Linked DNA regions of Xenopus tropicalis. The protein of the gene in region 1 purifies or fractionates together with the protein of each later gene. This does not show direct contact. Links are inferred from orthologs where the notes say so. Each region holds a gene or a part of one and is shown in the gene's direction. Other genes may lie near its edges.

Region 1 (4,333 bases):
TTGTAGTACCACCAACTATTACAACAAAAATCATTATTAGACTACTTTCTACTTTACATCTATTTTTACATAACTGTATATTAATCCATGTATCTATTTAAATATTAAATAATTAAATCTACTTTACTGAAATGGGTTACATTTAGAATTTAAGTTATGCTTTCTATAGACAAGACAATATTAAATATAAATTCTGTAGATAAAAGCACTTATGGCAAAACCTTTTTGCGCCTGGTACACTAACCTGCGGGTTGCAGCCTGCAGGCTTTTGTGCTCCAGTATAAGATGCAAAGTTCTGTACCTTTTCCATGAATACAGTACTGTCTGCAGTTTTCAGTGCTATATTTATGAGAGATCTGTGATGGCCTATGGACATCCCCAAGCTATTCAAACACAAAAGCTAGGGGTTATGCATTCAGTATGTAGAAAACATTAGGTAATCTGTGGTCCTGTCTTCACGTATTGCCTTTTGATTGCTGCCATTAATACAGAATACTAATTCAAGCAGCTGTTTGCAGGCACCTTAGAATATTGTTGTGTATCTACGTGACCACAGGCCTAGGTGCAGAACTTACACCTGCTCCCCTACCTAGAATGTACACACACCTCCTGCCCTTCTGGTATGTACACCAGTGTAGCATATCAGTTGCTCATAATAGAACACGTTTGTAGCATTCCCAACCAAATAGATATGCCAAATGATAGGACAGGCATTTTTCATCAGCCTGAGAGGACATCTCACATTGTACTGCAAAGTAAAACTGATCAACCTACTTGCTCAAAAGTATATATATCATCAGTTCTTACATGTATTTCTAGTATAAAATGAGACATGTTTATTGCAGCACTAGGCAGTTGGAAAATGTTAACGAATAAATCAGCAACATGAGAAATTAATTATTTAGAGTTTGTATCTGTGTATATCATGTTGAGGGTCTTTACTAAACTCACTGGGACATCTAATAAGGAAACCAGCTCATCAACCATCAATCAACAGCATTAGAGATAATTTGGTGTGGCAGTAACAAAGCTGACCTCTAACAAGCATATTTTCAAATAAGTAATCAGGGAATACACACGGGGGACTTTGTCTCACTGAATCACAGAATGTCGTACATACCCCTGTACTTGTCTGCGGCAGAGATGAGAATGGATGTCAGGGTCTTTGCTGGCCGTGCTGGATTTAGTATGTCAGAAATCTTGTTGTGCTTCATTGCCAGCGTATGAACCATTGTTTTGCAACACCACTGTATATTGGCTGATGTTCCTGCGGTCTGCTACTCAGGCAATCGAAGAAAAAGATTAGTGTGAAATAGCTGCCTGCAGGGACAGTCCGGCTCCACTCACACAGTAGATATACAGCAAAAAAGGCATTAAATTACTTTAAGGAGAGCGGCCAGTGCTGAATACAAAGGCAAAATGTTTTAGAACATCTAAAGGCACTGTCATTTTGCTTATCAGCCTACACCTGTTCTGATTTGAATAAGTGTGGTAATTGTTTAAAGGTTTCACGATTCATCAAATCTTCTCAACAATGAAATGGAGGCAAAGCTGAAAATGTTCATTTTAATTCCGTAAGAAAAAATTATACAGGCTTGTGTCAGAATTCCAGCCACAATCATCTGATTTTTTTTTAAAATGAAGGTTTCTTTTAGATTTGTTACCTACTTGCCCTTCACTTACAAAGCATACGTTCTGGAAAATGTATTAGGCCTGATTTACTTTACAGCTGGGAATTCCCCCAACCACAGGCAGTACCAGAAAGATTTATATCAATGACAAGATCTTCAGAAAACAAAGTCACAAGCATGAAATTGCTTTTAGCTGGAATGCTGATGTTAAAAAAAACTTTTCCAGTCATTCTCATGAACACTGACACATATGTGCTCTCTTTAGCGTATGTTTATGGGCATAATTGCGCAAGCTGTAGGTATCACCATTCAGGAGAAATTTGTGTTGGTTCCAATTTCACATAATAAAATCATTCATGAAGGCACTGCCTAGAATTACTGGCTGGATGTTTACAGTTTGTTGCAACATTCTCATTAGTTGGGAATAGTAACTCACACCAAATGTCTGTTTGTTCATTGCACCATTTAAGGGACCATAACTCTGTTGGAGCTGTTTGTAATCATTTCTCTTTCAGGCGCTTCCAAAATTTCACTTTTAAGAATTGGTGCCTTCTTTGTAAGTTGTCATCTTAGATTTCTAGGGCAAATCATTAAGTTAAGATGGAATATTGCATGCCAATGAATAACCATAGAGTTACACGAGCCAGCCAGAGGCCAAAGACCAGGGCAATTCAAACTTGGGTGGGCAACCTACTGATCATGTGTTCAAACATATTTTAGAGCTCATTGACAATGGAGGGGGCAAGGTGCAAAAAAATTATACAAAGAGCTATGTTTTAACCGCACGCTTCCTTGTGGTTCGCCTTATTGTGCTCCTGAAATGGACCGCAGAGAGCTGCGCCTCACTCATTGTCTAAGTTTTTAGCAATGCAGGGTACATCAGAAGCAGAATGTATAATAAAGTAGTAGAATTCTTAATTAATCAGATGAAAAAGTGGGACTGGCCAGACCGGGGATTACTTTGACATACAAAGTTGATAGTAAGTACAGGTATAGGACCTATTATCCAGAATGCTCAGGACCAAGGGTATTCCGGATAAGGGTTCTTTCCATAATTTGGATCTTCATACCTTAAGTCTACTAAAAATCAATAAAACATTAAATAAGCCCAATAGAATTTTTTGCATCCAGTAAGGATTAATTATTGTTGGGATCAAATACAAAGCACTGTTTTATTTTTAAATAGAAAAAAGAAATCAATTTTAAAAATCTGAATTATTAAAATGGAGTCTATGGGAGACAGGCTTACCATAATTCGGATCCCATACCTGTACCTTAAAAAAAAATACACACACACACAATAAGCATTTTGTGCCTCCCTATTGTTAATTTTATCTGTAAATGTATAGAGAAAGCTAGCACAGAACCAAAAAAAAAAAAACACCTTGCCTAGTGGTGGGAGAGGCCCTGGCCAGTAGATCTTTGTCCATTAATTGGCTAATGTAACTAAACATGTATGTGTGCTCTTGGCTTGATCCCAGGAGGCGGCCCTTAATTCTTAAAGGTGCAATTTTCTATTTAGGGTTACCCAATAGGACATACTGATAAAAAGTATATTTTTATGAAAATGATTTATTTAGATGAAGCAGGGTTTTACATATGAGCTGTCTTATGCAATATATTTTATAGAGACCTACATTGTTCGGGAGATATGGTAATATAGGTTCTTTTTATGTCCTGTTAATGAATAATGCTAACACATGATGGAATCTATAATTCCATATAAAAATTAGATCCCCTTTTCTGTCTGACGGACTGTGAGCAGCATAGAATGAATTTACCAATATATCATTTCTTTTCTGCAGTCAGAGCACCCCAACCCTGGAGTAAGGTATCCGGGAACAACACGTGTGGCTTACTTGCCTGATTGCCCTGAGGGAAACAAAGTTCTAACGCTATTTAAGAAAGCCTTTGACCAACGTCTGACCTTTACCATTGGGACTTCAATGACTACAGGGAGGCCCAATGTCATAACGTGGAATGATATTCACCACAAAACTAACTGCACAGGAGGACCACAGCTGTAAGAACCCTTTGGATCCATCACTAATTCCCTCTGCCTGTCATGTTAGCAACTGATCCAAATTTTTTAAAAAATTGTTGCAAAAAAAAAAAAAAAAAAAAACAAACATTTTTTTTTAGCTGAAGACAAATGTAGATACTATTATCTAAGGTGTTAATATACAGTGAAACCTCAATTTTACATCCCCTGATATTAAGTTTTCCTGTATTTTACATCATTGTACACATAGTAAACTTCCCTGATTTTACATTTTCCCGAATTTTGCACCATTATTTTCTGGTCCTCTTAAAAAAAACGTAAAAACATGACCAGCACACCAGGTCACATAAATATCTTCTTTTAATTCACCATGTGATCCAATACATGAATAAAAAGAAGATATTGATGTGACCTGGTGTGCTGGTCCTTCTTATAGGTATTTACATACAGTATTTTGACCTAGCACCCACTTATTGCACTGCTTTAGAGTACTGACACGCAATGCGACTATATATTTATATATATATATATATATATAGCAAGAGAATGAGCTGCACGCACCAGGACTTGGCAAAAATATAATAAGTTTATTTAAGAAAAGAGATCCAACGTTTCGAGCACTAACTGTGCTCTTCCTCAGGGTTTTTTCCCTGAGGAAGAGCACAGTTAGTGCTCGAAACGTTGGATCTCTTTTCTTAAA
Region 2 (4,627 bases), on another chromosome or scaffold:
CATTCTTTGAATAACTAATGCATTCTACAAAACCAGACACTTTGTGTCAGTAAATTCACAAAAGCACAGTACAAAGCTATGATTTTAGAGTTTTCATTTTAAGAACCACTGTGTTTGGTTGGAACAATGTAGCGGAAGGCAACCGTGCAGTATTTTTCATAGCTAAACTAGCCAAACCGCTTCGGCTACATTGTGTTAAAAGTGATACTACCTGGGTAAAGGATACAAATCACTTTAGAATCAGTAAAAATATGTAATGATTGTATAGTGGAATTTTATTTAACTTTTCAGTTTTTTGGGGGTTTATATCCCCTTTAACTGTCAACTAGTCACAGAGTTTCAGGAAGTGGCGCAGTTTTATGTGTGGGCGGACAGTGTGTCTTGGCCTAGTGAGGAACAGCTGTCTGACCACATATATACCCACATCCTGAGACACAAAGTGATATAAATGGAAATTTGGGGCATGAACAGCAGTGGACTTCTGTAATGATTAACCCTTCATGGTCTGTAGATTGTAGTATCTACGTGTGCAGTATTATATTGACATTGAGTGCCAGAATACAGGGTATTCAGTGCAGGATCTCACTTGCTGAAAGTTAGGCAGCACTTAATGGGTTAAAGGGAAATTTCATCTAAATAATTTTGATTGGCTGTATGGCTTTTTTTCTCTGATTTGATAAACGGTAAATTACTACCCTCCCCAGGACCATGGATGCAAAGGGCACATTTCCTAAAATATATTACACAAGCTGTGAAGCCTTGTATTATCCCGGGAGCACTTTGCACCCATAGGCAATTTATAGTTCATCAACTGATATGGAAGGTTTGTGAGAAAACTTTCATATTACAATGGGATCCACATTTTCACCTTCCTTTATTGCTTTTACTTGACACAGAGGTGATGGAATTAAGGAGCAAAGGTGATCGTTTTGCCTTTTTTTTCTAGAGGAAGTTTAAGCATTATATCTTGATAATCTGTTTATTAGAAAATCAGGATCACAGCCTTCCGCTTTTTGCCATGTTCCTCCAGATTCTGTACATCATGTCTGCATCAGTGCACACATAATAAGAACTTAATGTGCGGCGTGTGCCGGAGAAAGCTGAAACCTGAAAGCAACGCTTTTGATCTGACAAATCAAATGGAAAAGATTGAGGCATCATGCAAAGGCTGCAATAAAAAAGTAAGTGAACAGCAGCCTCCCATGTTTGCTCATAGCCTGTACAGAGAGATACCATAAAACTATGGCAGCATAGGGATTCCCCTGTACTAAGCACAATTAAGCAGGAACAGCCCCCTTAGTTTGCTCATAGCCTGTACAGAGAGATACCATAAAACTATGGCAGCATAGGGATTCCCCTGTACTAAGCACAATTCAGCAGGAACAGCCCATAAGTTTGCTCATAGCCTGTACAGAGATATACCATAAAACTATAGCAGCATATGTATTCCCCTGTACTAAGCACAATTTAGCAGGAACAGCCCCTAAGTTTGCTCATAGCCTGTACAGAGAGATACCATAAAACTATGGCAGCATAGGTATTCCCCTGTACTAAGCACAATTAAGCAGGAACAGCCCCCTTAGTTTGCTCATAGCCTGTACAGAGAGATACCATAAAACTATGGCAGCATAGGGATTCCCCTGTACTAAGCACAATTCAGCAGGAACAGCCCATAAGTTTGCTCATAGCCTGTACAGAGATATACCATAAAACTATAGCAGCAAATGTATTCCCCTGTACTAAGCACAATTTAGCAGGAACAGCCCATAAGTTTGCTCATAGCCTGTACAGAGATATACCATAAAACTATAGCAGCATATGTATTCCCCTGTACTAAGCACAATTCAGCAGGAACAGCCCCCTAAGTTTGCTCATAGCCTGTACAGAGAGATACCATAAAACTATGGCAGCATAGGGATTCCCCTGTACTAAGCACAATTCAGCAGGAACAGCCCCCTAAGTTTGCTCATAGCCTGTACAGAGAGATACCATAAAACTATGGCAGCATAGGGATTCCCCTGTACTAAGCACAATTCAGCTGGAGCAGGATCCTTAGTTAGTCTGTATAATATATATTATCTGAGACAATATATAATTATTATAGATATTCCCCTGTACACATTAATCAAGGAAGTCTGAGGTTATACTGGCTTTTTAAAATACTGGCACTTATGATTGAGTGAGGCCTATAAAGTCAAAATAATGTGTTGTTGTAGATATCATGTCAGTGAGTGGGAGGAGCGGCTGTGGTTTCACTATACATAGATGAACCTTAGGGTGACAGCCAAGGGTTAAGGCTGAGATGTTGATGTGGTTTCACTCTGTGTGTGCCCATATGCTCTGACATCAGCCAAGTTTAGCAGCAGTGTCGGTATTAAATTCCCCTGCACCACCTGTGACTGATTACATAGTATTGAATTAAAACGTGAAAGGGCTCAGGAGCCTTGGATTTCCCCACAATAGTTAGCAATTTCCTTTTTCCGATAGGGAAAGCCCAGCTTAGAGCTTATTATTTAAAAAAAAAAAAAATAGGACTTTCCATCTTAAAACAGACAAATGTTGTTCCTTGCTTATAAGATTTCATTTATATTTAAGGCAAAAAGCTTTCACACATATGACTTTACCACGGTGCTTGAATTATTCTGCCCTTAGACGGAGGCAGAGCTAGTTAGTCGCCCGTGATAGATCTCTGCTACCGTGGGCGACAAACTGCTTTGAAATGCCTTTCCACCGGCAGTTGGCATTCTGTCACGGTGGCACAGATCCCATCTGATACCCATTATAAGCAGCAGTCATGCCCTACTTTATGGCTGAGATTCTAGCTATCTGTATAACAGAGCATTCTGTCACAGTGGCACAGATCCTATCTGATACCCATTGTAAGCAGCAGTCCTGTCCTGCTTTATGGCTGAGATTGTAGCTATCTGTATAACAGAGCATTATGTCACAGTGGCACAGATCCTATCTGATACCCATTGTAAGCAGCAGTCCTGCCCTGCTTTATGGCTGAGATTCTAGCTATCTGTATAACAGAGCATTCTGTCACAGTGGCACAGATCCTATCTGATCCCCATTGTAAGCAGTAGTCCTGTCCTGCTTTATGGCTGAGATTGTAGCTATCTGTATAACAGAGCATTCTGTCACAGTGGCACAGATCCTATCTGATCCCCATTGTAAGCAGTAGTCCTGTCCTGCTTTATGGCTGAGATTGTAGCTATCTGTATAACAGAGCATTATGTCACAGTGGCACAGATCCTATCTGATACCCATTGTAAGCAGCAGTCCTGCCCTGCTTTATGGCTGAGATTCTAGCTATCTGTATAACAGAGCATTCTGTCACAGTGGCACAGATCCTATCTGATCCCCCCATTGTAAGCAGCAGTCCTGCCCTGCTTTATGGCTGAGGTTCTAGCTATCTGTATAACAGAGCATTCTGTCACAGTGGCACAGATCCTATCTGATACCCATTGTAAGCAGCAGTCCTGCCCTGCTTTATGGCTGAGATTCTAGCTATCTGTATAACAGAGCATTCTGTCACAGTGGCACAGATCCTATCTGATACCCATTGTAAGCAGCAGGCCTGCCCTGCTTTATGACTGAAATTCTTGCTTTCCATACAGATACAGAGGCTGAAGAGTAATAGATGCGATTTCTGTAACCAAAAATAGCTGTGGGATTGAGGGGGATCTCTGGGTACTGAAAGTAACAGCATAGCAGAAGTACTTGTGTGTCTGGTGTGTTATTATTATTATAGGAAATGACCTAGGTTCCTTGCAACCTGCAGGTGAAACTTTCAAAAATGCGTGAACACTTCGCTGCCTGTACCAAATATGATAAATATGTCATGAATGGAATTAAGGCTGTCAAAAAGAGCCACTCCCAGGAAACTGGGTGAGTATGTTTTCCACACAGTAGTGACCAGAACATTCCTTTTCCAATACGTCCTTTTTATCCTCCATATGTAGATCTTAAGGCATTTAAATGATTGTACTTCATCTTCCTTCCCACAGTGATGTCCCAAACCGCTTCACCTTTACTTGCCCCTACTGCCAGGAACAGAACCTTGCTCAGGAAGGATTAGTGGATCACTGCAAGAGGTTTCACATGAGCGATCCAACGCCTGTGGTGAGTTGATGACGGGACTATTGTATTGCTGCTACTGGAACACTCGCGTTTGGCTCTGTCTTAAGAAAAATTGTTTATACCCAAGTATGGAATAAGATTTAGCTGTCATTTGTTTACTGTACATTATATATCGGCATAATTGTGTTTGTTTGTGGCAGTGGCTTTGACAAGCTAACCTCCAGTGTCCATATTGTCAGAGGAAGTGGCTCAGCCTTGCAAAGCAGTAACATTTCAATAAAACATCTCGGGGTACCCTTGTTTTATCCACTCAAACCATATACAATTGTATTAGTTTCTGTCCAGTTGCTAAGGTATCGCATACCCAGTAACCAGGCTTTGGTTGGAATGACATGACAGAAAGTAAATAGATGAGGGGCTAAATAGCTTGATAATAATAATCATCGTCATCATCATATAGCCTTCCCCATAACAAAAGAATAAATGAAATATTAGGTTTTTAATTAGGCAAAATTTAAAAGGCACAAAAATTGACCATATTTTT

What was found. Proteins that work in one complex are often made in the same cells at the same time.
Region 2: the proteins of dtx3 (region 1) and rnf114 purify together in Homo sapiens (affinity purification with mass spectrometry; 3 studies listed by BioGRID and IntAct, counting the BioPlex papers as one, with this or other methods). This does not show direct contact. The link is inferred for Xenopus tropicalis from reciprocal best matches to the Homo sapiens genes DTX3 and RNF114.

Annotation. Positions count from the first base shown.
Region 1 is NC_030678.2:140,822,094-140,826,426, forward strand, and holds part of dtx3 (probable E3 ubiquitin-protein ligase DTX3), read left to right. Parts: intron 1-3,436; coding exon 3,437-3,654; intron 3,655-4,333. UniProt on the Homo sapiens protein: Regulator of Notch signaling, a signaling pathway involved in cell-cell communications that regulates a broad spectrum of cell-fate determinations.
Region 2 is NC_030686.2:36,177,493-36,182,119, forward strand, and holds part of rnf114 (E3 ubiquitin-protein ligase RNF114), read left to right. Parts: intron 1-1,030; coding exon 1,031-1,181; intron 1,182-3,784; coding exon 3,785-3,891; intron 3,892-4,010; coding exon 4,011-4,125; intron 4,126-4,627. UniProt on the Homo sapiens protein: E3 ubiquitin-protein ligase that promotes the ubiquitination of various substrates. In turn, participates in the regulation of many biological processes including cell cycle, apoptosis, osteoclastogenesis as well as innate or adaptive immunity.